Linked DNA regions of Stegostoma tigrinum. The protein of the gene in region 1 interacts with the protein of each later gene in a pairwise test. Links are inferred from orthologs where the notes say so. Each region holds a gene or a part of one and is shown on either strand. Other genes may lie near its edges. The genes, in order: ush1c and pre-mRNA splicing regulator USH1G-like.

Evidence for each region.
Region 2: the proteins of ush1c (region 1) and pre-mRNA splicing regulator USH1G-like interact in binary tests that used the Homo sapiens proteins (3 or more experiments, as listed by UniProt). The link is inferred for Stegostoma tigrinum from reciprocal best matches to the Homo sapiens genes USH1C and USH1G.

What each region holds. Positions count from the first base shown.
Region 1 is NC_081370.1:23,143,779-23,154,156, forward strand, and holds the start of ush1c (harmonin), read left to right. Parts: upstream 1-6,553; 5' UTR 6,554-6,636; coding exon 6,637-6,672; intron 6,673-6,911; exon of another isoform or gene 6,912-7,019; intron 7,020-10,378. UniProt on the Homo sapiens protein: Anchoring/scaffolding protein that is a part of the functional network formed by USH1C, USH1G, CDH23 and MYO7A that mediates mechanotransduction in cochlear hair cells. Required for normal development and maintenance of cochlear hair cell bundles.
Region 2 is NC_081375.1:53,411,144-53,420,972, reverse strand, and holds the start of pre-mRNA splicing regulator USH1G-like, read left to right. Parts: upstream 1-5,992; coding exon 5,993-6,156; intron 6,157-9,829. UniProt on the Homo sapiens protein: Plays a role in pre-mRNA splicing by regulating the release and transfer of U4/U6.U5 tri-small nuclear ribonucleoprotein (tri-snRNP) complexes from their assembly site in Cajal bodies to nuclear speckles, thereby contributing to the assembly of the pre-catalytic spliceosome on target pre-mRNAs.

The DNA.
Region 1 (10,378 bases):
CAGAACTCGCCACTCACTGAGACAAGCTGTTCCAGTACAGTCACAACACTGGCATCTACCTGACAATGTGGAAAATTGCCCAAGTCTGTACTGTACATTAAAAGCAAGACAAGTCCAATGCTGCCAATTACTGCACCATCCATCTGCTCTCGGTCATCAGGAAAGTGATGGAAGGTGTCATCGATAGTGCTATCAAGCAGCACCTGCTCAGCAATAATCTATTCATTTGAGTTCTGCCAGGGCTACTCAGTTGTTGATCTCATTGCAGCCTTGGTTCAAACATGGATAAAAAAGCCGAATTCCAGAGGTGAGGTGAGAGTGGCAGCCCTCGATATCAATGCTGCCTTCAACTAAATGTGGCATCAAGGAGCCCAAGCAAAACTGGGATTAATTGGTATCGGGGGCAAACTCTCTGCTGGTTGGAGTCGTGCACATAGTCGTGACACAAAGGAAAATAGTCGTGGTTGTTGGAGGTCAGTCATCTCAGTTCCAGGACATCTCTCCACAAGTCCCTCAGGGTAATGTCCTCTGCCCAACCATTTTCAGCTGCTTCATCAATGATCTTCCCTCCATCATAAGGTCAGAAGAAGGGATGTTCGCCAATGATTGCACAATGCTCAGTATCATTCGTGATGCCTCAGATACTGAAGCAATCTATATTCAAATGCAACCAGATCTGAACAATATCCAGGCTAGGACTGACACATGGCAAATAACGTTCATGCCAAATGCCGGGCTATGACCATCACCAATAACAGACAATCTAACCACTGCCCCTTGACATTCAATGGTGTTACTGTCACTGAATACCCCCCTCTTTCAACATCCTCAGGGTTATCATCAACCAGAAAGTCAACTGGACTCACCACATAAACACAGTGGCTACAAGAGCAGGTCAGAGGCTAGGAATATGTGGTGACTAATTCATCTCCTGACTCCCCAAAGCCTATCAACCACCTATGATGTACAAGTCAGGAGCAGATGGATTACTCCCCATTGGTATGGATGAGTACAGCCCCAACCACACTCAAAAAGTTTGACACTGTCCAGGACAAAGCAGCTCACTTGATTGGCACTACATCCACACCATCCATTCCCTCTACGACCAACACTCAGTAGCAGCATGCAACACTATCTACAAAGGGCACTGCAGAAATTCACCAAGGATCTTCAAACAGCAGCCTCCAAACCCTCAAACACTTCCATCTAGAAGGACAATGGCACAGACACATGGGAACATTACCAGCTGCAAATTCTCCTCCAAACCACTCATTTTCCTCACTTGAAAATATATCACTGCCCCTTATCTGTTGCTGAGTCCAAATCCTGGGATTCCCTCCCTCATGGAATTGTAGGTTAACCCACAGCAGGCGGACTGTAGTGGTTCAAGAGGCAGCTCACCACCACCTTCTCAAGGGGAACTAGGGAAGGGAAATAAATGCTGGCCAGCCAGTGATCCCCACATCCCACAAATGAATAAATTTTTAAAAAATCATCTGACCATTGAAGTTTCTGGACCATTATAAAATACACCTTTTTGGAATGTTTTGGTCCTGAATCTTTTCTCTACTTAATTCACTCTTGCTACTATGCAGGGTGTTGATTTAAAGTTGCAATAAAAATCCAACATCATTATTGAACCCAATTTTCTTACAATTAAAAGAATCTAAACAAGTTAAAATTTCAAACTGTCACTCTAACAATAAGCATAATAACATTAACTGCTTTCATACCCAGTTTTTGCCAGAATGACAGGGTTAAAATTATCCACGATATTTTGCTGGAAGCCCTGGGAGTATTTTAGTGAATTTTCTGATACATATTGTTTATTACAAGTCTGTAGCAAAATGCAGTCTATTGCATATCTCTATCACAAAGATTTCACGTAACTATTTCTTCAGATGGTTGCTTTATGAACTTTGTTTCCACTAGGTGGTGATGTGCAGTACATTATTTGTGGTTAGGATATTGGCATATAAAATTTATATGGTTTTACGGTCAAATGTAATAATACATTTTTCCACTCATACAAAAATGAAATTATGTAGAAAAAGTAAATAATTTTATACTTAATTATTTTCATCAAAACAATTTAAATTTGAGTGCAGAAATGGCTTCTATATTTTATACAGAACTAGTTCTTCGGCAATAATTCCATTGAGCAGAAAGAAAACTTCACAAAAAATGACAGGAAAACAAAAAAGTAAAATGTAAAGCTGCATTAATTCTTTAAAATACTTTGAGACAGTTCCCAAGTCATGGTAATAGACCCAGTTATGGGACTTTTCGGTGGTACTTTTTTTTCATTCATTCACAAGGTGTGAGCATTGCTGGCTAGGCCAGCAATTATTGCTTAGCCCTAGGTTAATTCTACAGTTGCTTTTGCAGACTTGGGTATCAGGAGGTCAGGAAATTTACCTTTACACGCAGATGTTTAGTAAAGTTTTACCACCATGACGGAAGGGATGAAGCTTGGCTGTTTAGTGCAATAACAAAAAGAGGTATAAAATACTGTGCTCTTATGTAGTAACTGGTATCTGGGAGGGGGCGCAAACAGAAAATCATAACATAAATCAGTGTGTGGGTGTACCAGAGAGTGAAAACAGGACAGTTTCAGAAAGAAATCTTCAATACTGCCAAAAACTGAGTTTAGGGAATTCACATTTTGACTATGATGTTAAAGTAATCGTCAGTTCGGTTTGCACAATGTTTCAGTTGCTCCAAGAAGATCCCAGCCAAACAAAAACACTAAATGAATGTGCAGGAGTTTGCCAGAAGGAAACAGGTTGCAGTTGTGCCAGACTGAGCAAGAAGCTTTAGAATGGAGATCGTAGTAAACCTTTGATGGGACTTGACTTTTGTAAAAATATTGCTGCGCTAAAAAGAATAGTGAGTGTCATTACTTTTCTGGTGTTTGTAATGAAACTTTCCAACCTTTTCATCTCATTTAATGTAGTTCATATTTTTACCTGTCTAATAAATGTTTAACTCTTTGTGATAAAAATGCACTTGCAGACTCTTCTGAATGTAACTGAACTCTGCAGTTTAGAGAAAGGGTAGTGTCTATCAAACCAGGTTTCAATGTGAGATCTGACTAGTCCGGTACTAATATCAGCTGCTACAAAACACTCCATTCAACAGGTTCACGACTGATCTGATTTGACCTTAACTTTGCCTTCCTGTCTACCCATGACATCTTTTCACTTTCTTGTTAATTGATACCATAAGATATTGTCACAAAATTAGGCCATTCAGCCCATTGAGTCTTCTCCACCATTCAATCATGGCTGCTAGGTTTCCCAATTCCATTCCATTGTCTTCTCACCATAACACTTGACCCCCTTACAAATCAAGAACATATCTATCTCTGCCTTAAGTACATGCAATGACATGGCTTCCACAGCAATGTGTTCCATAGACTAACCACCGTTTGGCTGAAGAAATTCCTCCTCATCTCAGTTCTAAAGGGTCATCTCTTTACTGAGGCTGTGCCATTGGGTTCTAGTCTCTCCGACTGGTGAAAGCATCTTCACCATTTCCACTCCACCCAGGCCGCTCAGTATTCTGTAAGGAAGCTATCCAACTCAATTTTACATATACTTAATAACCCTGCTGTCTAGGCAAAACAAAATCTCCATCTCCATCTCCATCTGAGTGACAAAAATAAATGTGGAGCTAGCAAGAATCAGAAGACCTTGAGAGTTGGGGGATAAACAGGTCAGCATAACATCAAGGGCCGAAGGGCCTATACTGCGCTGTAATGTTCTATGTTCTAAATGGAGATAATTTTATTTTTAAATTCTGTCCGCTAATTCTAAATGCTCCCATGATGGTAATTGTGCCTTGAGTATCCCCAAGCACTTTATACATTTCAATTAGATTGCTTCTCACTCTTCTAAACTCAGGAGATACATGTCCAACTTTTCCTCTTTACCTTTCTTCTACCCTCACCCCAAAACCACCTGAGCTCTCCATCATCCAAGGAATCAGATGGGCATACTTTCTCTGAATTTCTTCTAATGAAATTATGTCTTTTCTTAAATAAAGAGTCCAAATCTACATAGTATTTCAGATGAGATCTCACCAATGGTCTGTACAACTAGAAAAATGTTCCTACTTTTATATTCCATTACCGTTCGACAAATAACAACATTGCCTGTCAGGATGATAGGGACAGATGACTTTTAAGAAATATTTAGATGTGTGTGACATAAAGGTTATTATGGATATGCGTCCAGTGCTGGAAAATGGGAGTATAGCAGTTAGGAAGTTGTTTTTGACTGTTTCAGACTCAATTAGTGGAAGGGCCTTTTTTTCTGTGCTGTAGGCCTCTATGACTCTGTTATGTATGTCTTCCTAATCACATGCTGTACTTGCATATAACTTTGTGATGTATGTACCGAGATACCCAGATCCCTCTGCATGATCAGTTCTGTGTTTAAATCTCCCCAGTTAATTAATGTGCTGCTTCATTATTCTTGTTGCCAAACTTGACAAATTCACATTTTTCTGCATTGCACTCCATCTACCAAAGTTTTTCTCACTCTCATTACCTATTTGTATACATTTTTAGACTCCTTATGTTCTCTTTACAACGTACTTTCCCACCTATCTTATCTCTCGGCAAGTTTAGCTGCCACGTATTCAGTCCAGTTATCCAAGGCATTGATCAAGATTGCAAATACTTGAGGCCTCAGCACTGATTTCCAAGGCACTCCATTTTTTACACAAGGTTGTGGAGCGCACACAAACTGATCGAAACTTCAGGATTTAGAAATCTGTCATATTATTTGGAAATGCTGAAGTTGTGACTTGTCACTCACTGTTCTGCCACAAGCTGATGTGTGGACACTAACCCACGTGCAAAGCTAGCAATTAACAAACCAAGTGGATGTGGTGAGAATTTCCCAATCCAAAAATAGATCTGGCCCTGAAGAGATAATGGGAACTGCAGATGCTGGAGAATTCCAAGATAATAAAATGTGAGGCTGGATGAACACAGCAGGCCAAGCAGCATCTCAGGAGCACAAAAGCTGACGTTTCGGGCCTAGACCCTTCATCAGAGAAGGGTCTAGGCCCGAAACGTCAGCTTTTGTGCTCCTGAGATCCTGCTTGGCCTGCTGTGTTCATCCAGCCTCACATTTTATTATCCTGGCCCTGAAGAAGCATTTTTGTATTTGTGGAGTGATACAAAATGTCTCTCTTATGATTAACTTAAGTTGTTTAAAACCAAGCTTTGTGAATAATTCTTTAAAAATATTTTTGTGATGTTTCAGTATGTAGCTTCACCCCATGCATACATGCTAGTCTTTAATTTGCTTTTGTCAATTTTTAAAACAGTGACTTTATGGAAGCGCTTTTCATTGATTTAGAGAATTCTTTGGCTGTTCATACAGCTTGATGACATCTCGATGCAGCTGCATAGAAGGATTCCCCAGAAAACAAGAATCAAGTACAGGGTGAGAGAGAAAAAAAGCCAGGGAGATCATTGCACCTCCAGTGCATCTATGCTTCAGCACTGTGCAAAATTCAGACCATTGTAAAACACTGCATTTATGCTAATTCTCATTTGCAGTAGGTATTATACATTTTGATAAACCAAAGCTAAATCTTGGTGAACTTCAAAAAGACAAAGCTGCGCCACTACAGGGTGCAGTATAAATTTGTGATTCTATTTGATGCCAAGTTTCTGATCTTAAATATAATGATTTCAGGAGGTACCAAAACAGAAATCAAGCCTTCTCCCCACAGGAAGAGTAAGAAAATCAAATAAATAAAACGCTCACATTGCTTGCCTGCATCTATTAATTAATGGTCATGTGCAGCCCCATGGATTGAAATCTCTTAGGTCAGTGGTAATGTCCCTATCTCTGGACTTGAAGGTTTAGGTTCAAGTCCCAGCTGCCAATGAGGTGTGCTATATAAGATTTGAAGTAGTTGATGAAAAATTTGGGGAGCAGGTGTTGTAGAGGTAATGTCAGTAGCTGAACAATTCAGAGCTCCACGCTAAACCTGTGCGGACTATGTTCAAATCCCAGCACGCAAAATACTGGAAATTGTATCGCTATATCTCGGCCAAAGGACGTAAATGCAAGTTCCACCTACCGACATGCGTCGTAACATTTGCCGGAAGCACGCTCGGGGTCTTCCTAGCTCTGGGCCAGAAAATTTAGGTTCAAATCTCTGAATTGGTGGAGGTGTGTCATAACGTCTCTAAACAAAGTGATTAAACAAATGTTCTTTCTTTTAAAGCAAGTCCACGGTGTTTTGCTCAAGGAACCTTGAAATAAACACAGAAAAAAACTATTAAGACACCTTAAAACATAAGCTCGGTATTATATACATGAGATTTATTTGGATTGTGTTTGCCTGCGCAAGATGGGTCTTTAAAAAATAACTGAACAAACCGCTTTATAAATGAACGCGATCATTTTAACAACTTAAAGTAAAGCAATGCGGTAACAGCAGAAGCATACATGCGAACGGTGATACTTCACAGAGACACAAATCATGTTTAAAGTTTGTTTTCTTATCTCGCCCTGTCTGCTGTCATTAACTGCAAGCTCTCCACACCCAAAGGGTTGAGAGGAAAAGGGGCCGGTCATTCCTGGTTCCCATCGCATCCAGCCTGCCAGAATGGAGAAAAAGGTGGCCAGAGAATTCAGACGTAAGGTAGGGAGCGAGGGAAGTTGCAAAATTTAAAAACTACGCAGCTTTTCACTTATCTTGAACGTATTTCTGTTAGCGTTAGGACGTTGTTGCTGTGCTCAAAGAAGAGTTCGTAAGCTTAGGTTATGAGAGACTATGGACCCAGCTGTATCAATAACAAGTGGGGGAAGGGCATTTGTTAGTTTCCCGAAAAAATGTCTATTTCCATTCAGCTCTGTTTTCGTAGTGTTCAAACGGTGTACCTGGAGTAAAACGCCTTTAAATGTTGATATTTGTGATAAAGTTTCCGCAATGTTTCCCCTGTTCTGAGCAATCGCTCTGCCCAGGAAACGATCTCACTCAACCCTGGGAGTCGAGCGCCGTCAGAGGAGCAGGGGAACACATACTTCCATAAGCTCTTGGCAGTAGATTGAACACAGTGAACCCATTGAAATGCGATATCGTAATGAAAACTATTTACAACTGCGCGAAGAAATCCAGTATTTTGCATCTAGACACATGTTAAGGCGCCTGGACTCTAACGTATATTGGGAACGTTGTACCTTAACAAAGGCATTGCCTTCCAGACTCTATATAACAAAATCGATACAATAAAATGAAGAGTATTACTGATGTCGCAATCAAACTTAATAGTAAATTAGTTTTTATTTCTCTTCATGCTATTTCCAAAGAAGCTAACAATCTTCATTGAACCCCGTATAATGCGGCGATCATACAGTTCTCAATAAATAGAGGTTTTTTTTTCCTGGCAGAATCCATATTTCCAACCAAGTGGGTTTAGGTCAGTTCAGTTCCTGCAATAAAGTCAATTGAATGAGTGTTTTTAAAAATATAGTTTTCAATGTTGCTTTAATATTTGAGTGATTATGGATGCCTCGTCTATAATTACCTAAGCGTTATGGAGCACAAGGCATATCTCAGCATTGATGCCGCTGCAGGCTCTGTAATAAATGAGGACTTCCCAGCCAAGACAGTAAGGTCTGGGCATTCCAATAGATTCCAGTAGCACGTCCTGATTGAGGGAAGACCAAATAGATTTCCCACTCTTTATTGTTGCAAGTGTGTGTGTGTCGAGGTAGCGGAGTTAGAAACAATGTTTTGTAACACCATAAAGGCAGTACACTCATGTAATAGCACTAAACTATTTAATGTCCTTGGCATTTTGTTCTAACCCTTTGACTGTGAACAGGAAGAAAGTATGGCAAAAATATATAAAAAGCAACAACTGCCTTCATCTGCCTCCACCCTTTTCTCCAGAATTTCCTACCCAAATATCTGCATCTCCCAATCTTGCTTTACTCCTTAAGGAGTTTTCTAATTCTTTGACCAAGCATAACTGCCTTTTTTCCCCTCTTTTTCAGCTTTTTAAAAAAATTTGCTTCCACGAAGTACCTTGGGATGTTTATTATGTTGAAGAAACCAAAGATGTTGCAAATTATATTGCAGCAAGTTTTAAAATTTACGTGGGTTCCATTCCTGCCATCACCTTCTCAGCTCCTTGCTAACTTAACCATTCATTAAGTACCAACTAAATAGTGACTGATTGAAAAACCTGTCTGTTATAGAAAAGGTATGACATTGGTATCAAATTTGCTTTCACTTGACATTGACATTTGTGCACTTCATGTGATGTATCACCCTGTGAGTATTCACTCTATTGAGGTTCATTGTCCAACTCCTATGCTTCAAACATAGATCAGCAAATTCTGTACAGTGATTGCACAGCAATTTTTTTTCTAATCTTTATAGTTTGATATCTTACCATGTGGTTCATTTTACTAACACAGATTGTTAGTTCTTCGTGGTCATCTTTCTCGCAGTTCAGTGGTGAACATTGTGGTTTAATTGCTGACCATGAAATAAGAGCTGCTAACTTTGTCATTCTGCAACTCACTTTTGCATAACCTTTGAATATCGCCCTGAAATAGCAATATCATGGAATAGGATTTAAAAATTATGAAGCTGCCATGTAATCACTCAGAATACAGTGAAGTGTGCAAACTGTGATAAACATTGGAGCATAGAACAATACAGCACAGTACAGGCTCTTCAGTCCACGATGTTGTGCCAACCTGTTATCCTCCTCTAAGATCAAACTACCCTGCATGCCCTTTATTTTACTATCATCCATGTGTCTATCCAAGAGTCGCTTAAATGTCCCAAATGTATCTGGCTCCACTACTACCGCCAGCAGCACATTCTTCGCACCCAGCACTCTGTGTAAAGAACCCACCTCTGACATCTCCCCTATACGTTCCTCAAATCTCCTTAAAATTACGCCCCCTCGTAATATTCATTTCCACCCTGGGAAAAAGTCTCTGGCTATCCACTCTATCTATGCCTCTCATCATCCTGTACACCTCTATCAAGTCACCTCTCATCCTTCTTCACTCCAATGAGAAAAGCCCAAGCTCCCTCAACCTTTCATCATAAGACCTAGCCTCCAGTTCAGGTAGCATACTGGTAAATCTCCTCTGCACTGTCTCTAAAGCTTCCACATCCATCCTACGATGAGGTGACCAGAACTGAACACAACATTCCAAGTTTGGTCTAACCAGAGTTTTATAGAGCTGCAGCATAACCTGACGGCTCTTAAACTCAATTCCCCTGCCAAGAAACGCCAACACATCATATACCTTCTTTATAACCCTTTCAACTTGGGTGGCAAATTTGAGGGATCTATGGACATGGACCCCAAGATCCCTCTGTTCCTCTCCATTATCAAGAATCCTGCCATTAACCCTGTATTCTGCATTCAAATTTGACCTTCCAAACCGAATCACTTCACACTTTTCCAGTTTGAATTCCGTCTGCCATTTCTTTGCCCAGCTCTACATCCTTTCAATGTCCCATTGCAACCTACATTATGCACAACTCCACCAACCTTCGTGTCATCAGGAAACTTACTAACCCACCCTTCCACTTCCTCATCATTCATAATCAAACTCTGATTTTCCAAATAATCATAAATACTATCTCTCAGAATCCTCTCCAATAATTTGCCCACCACAGAAGTAAGACTGTCTGGTGTGTAATTCCCAGGATTATTCCTATTCTCTTTCTTGAACATTTGCCACCCTCCAAATCATTGGTACTACTCCAGTGGACAGTGAGGACACAAAGATCATCACCAAAGGCGTAGTAATCTCTTCCCTTGCATTTCGTAGGAACCTTTGGTATATTCTGTCTGGCCCAGGGGTCTTATCTATCCTCATGTTTTTTTTAAATTTCTAGCATGTTCTCCTTCCTAACATCAACCTATTTCATCATAGCAGCCTGTTTCATGCTGTCCTCACAAACATCGAGGTCCCTCTCACTGGTGAATACTGAAACAAAGTATTCATTAATGACCTCCCCAACCTCCTCTGACTCCACACAGAAATTCCCTCCACTGTCCTTGATTGGCCCTACCCCAACTCTGGCTATCCTCTTATTCCTCAAGAAGGAGTCAGAGGAGGTTGGAGAGGCCCTTAATGAATAATTTGCTTGAATACTTTGCTGGAATAGGTTGATGTTAAGAAGGAGTACATGCTAGAAATGAAAATGCCTCCATGGGTAGGATTAAGGAAGACCCCAAGACACCTTGGGGTCTTCCTTAATTCTACACATGGAGTCTTTTTCAAACCCTCTTCTAAGTCCATTCTTCAGACTTCCTGAAACTACCTGGCTACCTCTAGAGCCCTATCCAATCCTTGCTTCCTCAACCTTA
Region 2 (9,829 bases), on another chromosome or scaffold:
TCAAAGGGTATAGATCCATTGGAAATGACAGATGGAGTTTAATCCAAACAAGCATGAGGTAGTGCATTCTGGAAGGTCAAATGCAAGAGGATCGTATACAGTAAATGGCAGGACCCTTAAGTGCTTAATATAAGAGAGATCTTGGGGTCCAAGTCCATAGTTCCCTGAAAGTGACAGCACAAATGGAGAAGATGGTTGTAGTGAGGTCCATTGGTTGAACGTCATAGAATATGAGTTCCCTGATTGGGGCTGTTAATTTGGCCTAATCAGGGAGCCCTGGCTGACGGATAGAGATGTGTGTTAGAGATTCAGGTACTCTGAAGAGACTGAAGTCAAAATCTATTCATGTGTGAATAGAGGGTGACTTGGTGATGGCATACAGGCCTCAGTGGAGTTATTTCAGTGGCAAATGAAGCATATGGTATACTTGCCTTCATTGGCCAGGGCGTTGAGTACAAAAATTGACAAGTCGTGTTGCAGCTATATAAAGCTTTAGTTAGGTCACATATGGAGTAGAGTTATAGTTATAGAGACATACAGCATAGAAACAGACCCTTTGGTCCAACCAGGCCTTCTTAAGCACATTCCTGAATTGAACATGTCCCACTCGCCTGCATTAGGCCTCTCTCCATACAAACCTTTTCTACTCTTGTACTTATCCAAATGCCTTTTAACCATTGTGAATATATTCTCATCTACCACTTCCACTGGCAGCCCATGCTGCACGTGAGCCACTCTCTGTGTAAAAACGTTCCCCCTCCCTGTCCTTTCTAAATCTCTCTCCTCTCACCTTAAAAATATGCCCCCTGGTTTTGAACTCCCTACCTGAGGGCAAAACACCTTTGTTATTCACCTTATCTATGCCCCTCATGATTTTACAAACCTCAGTAAGGTTGCCCCTCCATCTCTTATGCTTCAGTGAAAAAAGTCCGAGTCTTACTAGTTTATTTTTATACCTCAAACTGCCTCTTCCTGCCAACCTCCTGGTAAATCTTTTCTGAACCCTCACCAGTTTAATAATATCCTCCCTGTAAAAGGGCGACCAGAACAACACACAGTACTCCAGAAGAGGCATCACCAAGCGTCCTGTACAACCTCAACATGACACTCTAACTCCTATAATCAATGGTCTGAACAATGAAGGCAAGCATGCTAAACGCCTTCTTCGCCACCCTGTCTACCTGTGGCTCAAATTTCAAAGAATTATGTACCTGAATCCCCTAGATCTCTGTTCTACAACACCACCCAAGGTCTTGCTTTTAATTTTATAAGCCCTGTTCTAGTTTGTTTTACCAAAATGCAATACCTCGCATTTATACAAATTAAACTCCATCTGCCACTCCGCAGCTCATTGGCCCATTGATCAAAATCCCTTTCCAATCTTACATAACATTCTTCACTGTCCACTACATCACCAATTCTGGTGTCATCTGCAAACTTACTAGCCTTACCTTCTAAATTCTCATCCAAATATATACGGCAAACAAAAATGGACCCAGCACTGACCCCTGTGGAATGCTGCTGGTCACAGGCCTCCAGTTCGAAGAAAAGCCTTTCTACTCTCTTTATCAAAAGGTGTAAACAAAAAAAACCAAGACCCTCCCCACTCCCGACACCAGCCCCGTCAGACACTCCCGGGACCGGGTGAAACATATGGCAAAGCCCCCTCTGCTGTTTCAAAACAGAAGATAAAGCTGCCTTGACATTGTAAAAACAAAACTTTTCTGATGAAGGGTCTAGGCCCGAAACATCAGCTTTTGTGCTCCTGAGATGCTGCTGGGCCTGCTGTGTTCATCCAGCTTCACACTTTGTTGTCTTGGATTGTCCAACATCTGCAGTTCCCATTATCTCTAAAGGCTCTATCACTCTAGGGAAACCAAAAACTAAAAAAAAACAAACAAAACTAGTTCTCCCTTGACTCCGTCCCCACCAATCTCTTTTGAGCAGTGACCAGAGGGGGCCAAAATAAAAATAAACCCAAGAAAAAATCAAAGAAAACAAATAATTAAACAAATAAATCAACAACTAAATAAATGAGTTTCAGAGGTTGTGGGAACTGCAGATGCTGGAGGATCTGAGATCACAAGGTGTGGAGCTGGATGAACACAGCAGGCCAAGCGGCATCAGAGAAGCAGGAAAGCTGATGTTTCGGGCCTAGACCCTTCTTCAGAAAAATCTGATGAAGAGTCTAGGCCCGAAACATCAGCTTTCCTGCTCCTAAGATGCTGCTTGGCCTGCTGTGTTCATCCAGCTCTACACTGAATAAATGAACCCCCTCTGCCCCGTCCCCTCTGAACCCCCATGAGACAGGGATGACAATGGTTTAAAATTGAGAGGAATGTCCCTTGCACTGATCACACTGATCCCCATCAAGTGCATCTGATACAGGGGCAGTACGGGGCTAAAATAACAGCCCCTTGGATCTTCCAGGGTCTAGAATCGGAACAAAGGGGAAGTATGACAGACCTCTTCCTGGGACACCAAACCAAAACCAAATGCAAGCTTAAAAGACAAAACGGAAACTTATATTTTGGAGAAAATTAACTAAATCAGAGAATCATTATCCAGGTTGATAATGCACTCCAGCTCTCGCAGCGCCCAGCATTCTCAAACGGCCTCAAACATGTCAGTGTGCACCACCTGCTCCCTCTCCAGGGACAACTGAGCACAGAGTTAACTGCTGAAGATGAGCAGAGAGTCAGGAATGATGGGCCCCTCTTTGGACCCCTGCCCGGTCCTGTTCATGCCCATCTTAGCCAGGCCCAGGAGCAAAGACCCAGGAGAAGGCTCATAGACATGTCCATCCCTACCTGCACCGGGTACATATAGATCAGGGACGTGGTGCTGACATGCAGCCAAAATTGTAACAGCATGTCCCTGCAAAAAACCTAAAAAGGGGCTGCAGCTGGACAGACTTGACACAGAAGTGGAGAGCCATCTTCTTCAGGCACGCCGAACGTGCACATGGTCTGGCGCCTGGTAAACTTACTCTTTCACCGGTGGCATGGGGCCACCGTGTGCAGCACCCTCCATCCCAGGCCCCCAGATGTAACAGGAGAGGAGCCATTCATAGAGGGCCCTCCACTGTGGATCTCTGCTGCTGGAGGGTAACAGATTATGCAAATGCATATCTGGGCAGTGGGTAAAGGCACAGCAGTGGAGAGTGTGCAACATCAACGTCTCCATTCTTTCCAAAAGGGCACTGGGAGGATGTCCCTGAGATGGCTCAGATTGTTGGGCATGATGCCACGAGAGGGTCCACGGTGCAGTGCCAGTGTTGAGTTCCAAATGGACAGGGGTCAGTTCATCCAGACACCCACCGCATGCCTGTGCTGCCTCAAGGGAACGCGAGGTGTCCCAGGTGTCCAAGTGCATTGTCCATCAGGCTCTAGATGGCTCGGTCACGAACCGAAGGAAAACAACCCTCTATCACCAACTCTGTCTCCTAATGTCGGTCCAGTTTTGTATCCAATTGGCAAGCTCGCCCTGAATCCCATTTGATCTAACTTTACTAATTAGTCTACCATGCGGAACCATTTACTTAAGTCCAAGTAAACAATGTCTAATGCACTGTTCTCATCAATCTTCTCGGTTACTTCCTCAAAAAACTCAATCAAGTTTGAGAGACAACATTTCCCTCACACAAAACCATGCTGACTCTATGTAATCATTCCTTGCCTCCCCAAATGCATGATAATCCTATCTTTCAGAATCACCTCCAACAGTTTACCCATCACTGATGTCTGGCTAACCGGTCCATAGCTCCCAAGCTTCTCCTTACAGCCTTTCTTAAATAAACGCACAAAATGAGCCACTCTCCATTTATTCGTTGTTATAGATAATGCAAATATTTCTGCAAGGTACCCTGCAATTTCCTTCCTAACTTCCCACAAAGCCCTGGCATACTCCTGATCAGGTCCCGGAGATTTATCCACCCTTATATTTTCAAAGACCACCAGCACTTCCTCTTCTGTCAAGTGAACTGTTTTTCAAGACATCAGTATTTTTTTCCCTGAGTTCTCTAGCCTCCATTTCTTTCTCCACAATAAAAAACAGATTTGAAACATTTATTTACTACCTCTCCGGTCTCCTGAGGTTCAACACAAAGATGACCATTTGATCTTTAAGGAGTCCTACTCTCTCTCTGGTTGCTTTCTTGCTGTTAATGTATTTGTAGAACCTTTTCACTAACAGAAGCATAATCTGTCTGAAGGGCCCAGGCCTGAAACGTCAGCCTTCCTGCTCCTCTGATGCTGCTTGGCCTGTTGTGTTCATCCAGCTCCACACCTTGTTACCTTGAACTCTGATTAACACACTTCTTTTGAAAAGTCTCCCACTTGTTGATCATTCCTTTGCCTAATCAACTTTTAAAAGCTCTTGTTTCATAACCATGAAAATTTGCCTTAGTCTAACTTTGAAGCAAGGCTTATCCTTTTCCATAACTATTTAAAAACAAATAAGTTCTGGCCACCAGACTATAGGAAGGAAGTGGAGGCTTTGGAGAGGATGTGAACGAGGTTTACCAAGACGTTGCCTGGATTGCAGTGTATGGGCTACAAGGAAACGTTACACAAACCTGGGTTGCTTTGGCTACAGTGTCGGAGGCTCAGGGGAGACAGGTAGAATCACATAAAGCTATCAGAGGCATGCAAAGGCTGATGGTCAGACTCTTTTTTCCCAGAGTGGAAATGTCAATTACTAAGGGGCATAAGTTTAAGGGGAGAGGAGGAAAATTTGAAGGAGTTGTGTGAGGTATGTTTTTTGCACAGAGCTGATGGCTTGGGATTTGGTACAAAGGGTGCCTGGAATGCGCTGCTCGTGGAGGTGGTCGGAGCAGGTAGGATAGCAATGTTTAAGAGATATTTTGACAGATACATGAACATGCAAAGAGATTAGAGGGATACAGCCAATGTGCAGGCAGCGGGACTAGTTAGAATGGCATCAGGGTCAGGTCAAAGAACCTATTCCTGTGCTATACTGTTCTATATTCTATGTAGGACAGGTACGGCACAGGGTTAGATACAGAGTAAAGCTCCATCTACTGTTTTAAACTTAAACTAAAAGCAGGGATTAGATGTGAACTAAAGCTCCCTCTACACTGCTCCCCATCAAACACTCCCGGGACAGGGACAGCACAGGGTTAGATACAGAGTAAAGCTCCCTCTACACTTTCCCTATCAAATGCTCCCAGGACAGGGACAGCACGGGGTTAGAAAAAGAGTAAAGCCTCCCCTATACTGTTCACATCAAACACCTCCAGGACAGGGACAGCACAGGGTTAGAAAAAGAGTAAAGCCTCCTCTACACTGGTCACATCAAATACCTCCAGGACAGGGACAGCACGGTGTTAAATACTGAATAAAGCTTTCTCTACCCTGTCTCCCTACCAAATATCTCAGGACAGAGTCACCAGGGTTAGATATAGAGTAAAACTCACTCTACGCTGTTCGCATCAAACACTCCCAGGGCCGGGACAGCATGGGGTTAGATACAGAGTAAATCTCCTTGAAGACAGTGGTGACGTCAGAAAAATCTTGACAGTGTGCATTGTGGTCAGTGCACATTAAATGCCAATGAACTCATGCTAAAAGAATGTTTGGAAGGAGAGTTACCTTCTTGATTTCAGTTCAAACAGTAAACCACAATTCCCAGAAAGAATCTGTTTCCAGGGATGATTAGATTCTAACATGGTGGTGGAGGTGAGGGGTGGGAGCACTAGGACCTGATAGTTTTGTGGGCTGGCTCTCTGTATCTTTCACCGAGCTGCTGTTTCAGTTCTCAGATTACCAGCTCAGTGAGGTAGGAGAGGCAGTGTGTCCTGCTCCCTAGGCGCCAGCTCTCCAACACTTGAGCTCCTGGGTGCCCAGCTCTCCCGCACTGAGCAACAGTGTGCTGTGCCAATTCCAAGAGATGATGCCAATGAGCTCGCCCTCTCCATGGGGCTGTTTGTTCTCAGGCTCTTGATGCCCCCTGGGGACTTGCAGTCAACACAATGAGTGACAGATATCACAAGGCTGCTCGGGATGGTTACCTGGATCTGCTGAAGGAAGCAACCAAGAAGGACCTGAACTCCCCCGATGAGGATGGCATGACTCCCACTCTCTGGGCGGTTTACCATGGCAACCTGGAGGCCGTCAGGCTGATCATCAGCAGAGGGTAGGTCACTCTGTGGGACCTCTGGCTCCAAACCCTGTCCCTGGGGCATTTTTTAATCTCCCACTGATTCAAAGCATCCTACAACACGTAACGAGACCGCTCGGCCCACTGTGATTGTGCCAGCTTTTTCCAAGGTCTAGGCAATTAGTCCCATTCTCCCTGTGCTTCCGTCAGTAATCGTATTCTGAAAATACATCATTTGCTGAAAAGGATGTGCTTTTTTTTTATCCCCGGAGGGTTTTTGTTTTGTTTCCTGTGTTCCAGGTGGTTTAGTGGCTAGCACTCTTGGACACACAGGCCCCTGGGCCTCATGTCCCACTGCACATATTTCCAACAGAGTGCTGCACTATCAGAGGGGCTCCCCTTCCCATCAGTAAAAGAAAAGGCCTTGCCCTGGGAGATGTTGAGAAGGCTCTGTTAGGGCTTTGTAGAAGGGAGGGAGAATTATGCCTTGTAACTTGTCAATTATCTATCCCTTAATATACAGCCCAAAGAACCCATTGTCTAACTGTTATAGCATGGCTGAGTGTGGGATCTTGCTGCATGCCATCTAGCTGCCACATTTCCTACTTGGTAACAGAGACTTTAATCAGGAGAGCTAAAGGCAGAATAACAAATCCACAGAACTTCATAGGTTGTACAATCAGCGTTGTATAAATCCAAGTCTTTCTACTTATTCATCCAATTCCCATGTCAAAATACCCACACCAGCATTTATTGCCCATTGCTCAGGTAATTGCTGTGGGCCTGGAGTCGGATGTAGGCCAGACTGAGTAAGGGTGGCATTTTCTTTCCCTAAAGGGCATTAGGGACTCACCTGGGTTTTACCCACAGTCAACAACGGATTCATGGATATCATTAGATTCTTAATTCCAGATTATCATTGAATTCAAATTCTGCCATCTGCTGTGGCAGGGTTTGAGCCTAGGCCCTCAGAGTCTCTGGATTAAAAGGTCTACTGACGACGCCACTAGGCCAGCACCTCCCCCAGCTGCTATTCTACTTTGAGCGTATTTTGGATCCTAACCAAACTCTTCCCCATCTCACCTCTGACAGTTCAGTTGATCTTCTTCAACCTTTGAGCATCTGGTCACTGCCCCAGCAGCCTATGGAGATAATTGCTCCTCATCCACTCCATCAAACCTCTCCCCTCTCCCCCACTCCCCCACCCGTTACTGAGTACCTCCGTCAGATCTACAACACCTTCTTGCCTCTAAGGAGAACAACTGTATGAATCTTTAAGTAACTCCCCTGTAGGGTATTAGGGCTGTAGGGGCATTCTTAAGAGGGAAATGAAAAGGATAAAAAGGGGCTATCTTGGCAAATAAGGTTAAACATAATCCAAAGAGATTCTACAAGTGTATTAAGAGTAAAGAGTAAGTAAGGAGAGAATAGTGACCCTTAAAGATCAATGAGGTCGTGTATATGTGGAACCACAGGAGATAGGAGAGTTACTAAACCGATGTTGTGCCTGTGAAGAGGCGAGGGAACTCGGGGAAATAAATACTGATGTCGTGTGAACAGTCCGCATGACAGAAGAGGAGGTGCTGGAGGTCTTAAAAACATAAAGGTGGATAAATGTCCGTGACCTGATCAAGTGTACCCCAGGGAACTTGTGGAAAGTTAGGGAAGAAATTGCGGCCCGGTAACAAATATGTATGTATTCTCTACAGCCATCGGTGAGGTGCCAGAGGACAGGAGGGAGGCTAATGTTGTGCCTTATTTAGGAAAGGCTGCAAGGAGAAGCCTGGGAACTATAAACCAGTGAGTCTGACATTGGTGGCGGGTAAGCTGTTGGAGGAAGTTCTGAAAGACAGGACTTACAAGTATTTGGGAAGGCAAGGAATGATTAGGGATAGCCAGCATAGCTTTGCATGTCGGAAATCATGCCTCACTAACTTGATTGAGTTTTTTGAAGGTGTAACCAAAAAGATTGATGAGGGCAGAGCGTTGTCTACGTGGACTTTACTGAAGCCTTTGACAAGGTTCTGCATGGTAGACTGATTAGTAAAGTTAGATCACATGGGATTCCGAGCGAATTTGCCACCTGGACACAAAATTGGCTTGATGGTAGGAGATAGGGGGTGCTGGTGAAGGGTTGTTTTCCAGACTGGAGGCCTGCGACCAGCTGTGTTCTACAAGGATCTGTCCTGGGTCCACTTTTGTTTGTCATTCATTTAAATGATTTGAATGAGAATATAGGAAGCGTGGTTAGTAAGTTTGCAGATGACACCAAGTTTGGTGGTACAGTCATCATTGAAGAAGGATATCTAAGATTTCTTGATCAGTGGGGCGAATGGACACAGGAATGGCAGATGGAGTTTAATTTGGATAAATGCGAGGTGTTGCATTTTGGTAAAAGAAACGAGGGCAGGACTTAAACAATTAATGGTAGGGCCTTGGGCAGTGTTGTCAAACAGAGAGAACTAGGGGTTCAGGTACATAATTCTTTTGAAAGTTGCATCACAGGTAGACAGGATGGTTAAGAATGCGTTCAGCACACTTGCCTTCGTTGCTCAGATCATTGAATACAGAGTTGAGACGTCATGTTGCAGCTGTACAGAATATTGGTGAGGCCACTTTTGGAGTACTGAGTACAGTTCTAGTTGGCATGTTAGAGGAAGGATGTTATTAAATTGGAGAGGGTTCAGAAAAGATTAACCGGGATGTTGTTGGAGCTGGAGAGTTTGAGTTATAAGGATTGGTTGCTTAGGCTGGGACTTTTTTCTCTGGAGCCTATGAGGTTGACTCATAGAGGTCTATAAAATAATGAGGGGCATAGATAAGGTGAATAGCAAAGGTCTTTTCCATTTGAGTGAGTTCAAAATGAGCGGGCATATTTTTAAAATCAGAGGAGAAAGATTTAAAAGGGACCTGAGGGGCAACTTTTTCACACAGAGGGTGGTGTGTGTATGAAATGAACTGCCAGAGGAAGTGGTAGAGGCTGGTACAATTACAACATTCAAAAGACATTTGGACAGGCTCATGAATAGGAAAGGTTTAGAGGGATATGGGCCAAATGTAGGCACGTGAGAGTAGTTTACAAAAACAGAAGTTGCTGGAAAAGCTGAGCAGGTCTGGCAGCAGCTGTGAAGAGAAAGCCAGAGTCAATGTTTTGGGTGTGGTGACCCTTCCTCAGAACTGGTAAACAGATTGGTTTCGTTTGGGAAGCTTGGTCGGCGTGGACGAGTTGGACCGAAGGCTCTGTTCCATGCTGTATGACTCTATGACTCTATAAGTGCAGTTCACCCCCAGTCTCTGAATCCACCCCTTTGCCATCCCTTGTGCCCTGAAATGTTTGATTGTCTTCACAAAACATTTTCAAACCCATTCACGTTTGTAATTGCTGAAGCTTCCTGTCCCTTCACCTTAGAGAGATGCTGAGGACAGTGTCAGGCTCAGCTGTGATGCCTTCCATGGTCCAATAGCTTGCCTGCGTGCACCTCTGAAGGGCAAGGGCCTAGAAAGCAGCTGCCACTTGCCTCCAACTCTACCCCTGCCGTTTTGAGAAGGGCAATGGGAGAGGTGAGGAGGTGCTGAGTGGAGGGGAAGGGTAAACACTATCTATCACTGCAGATGACCCTCGCTTTGTGTTGGCAAAAGCATGTGTTTACCTCACTCAGGCTTTGTTTGATATCTGTGGAGTCTTGCCGTGCACAAAGGAGGATCTTTT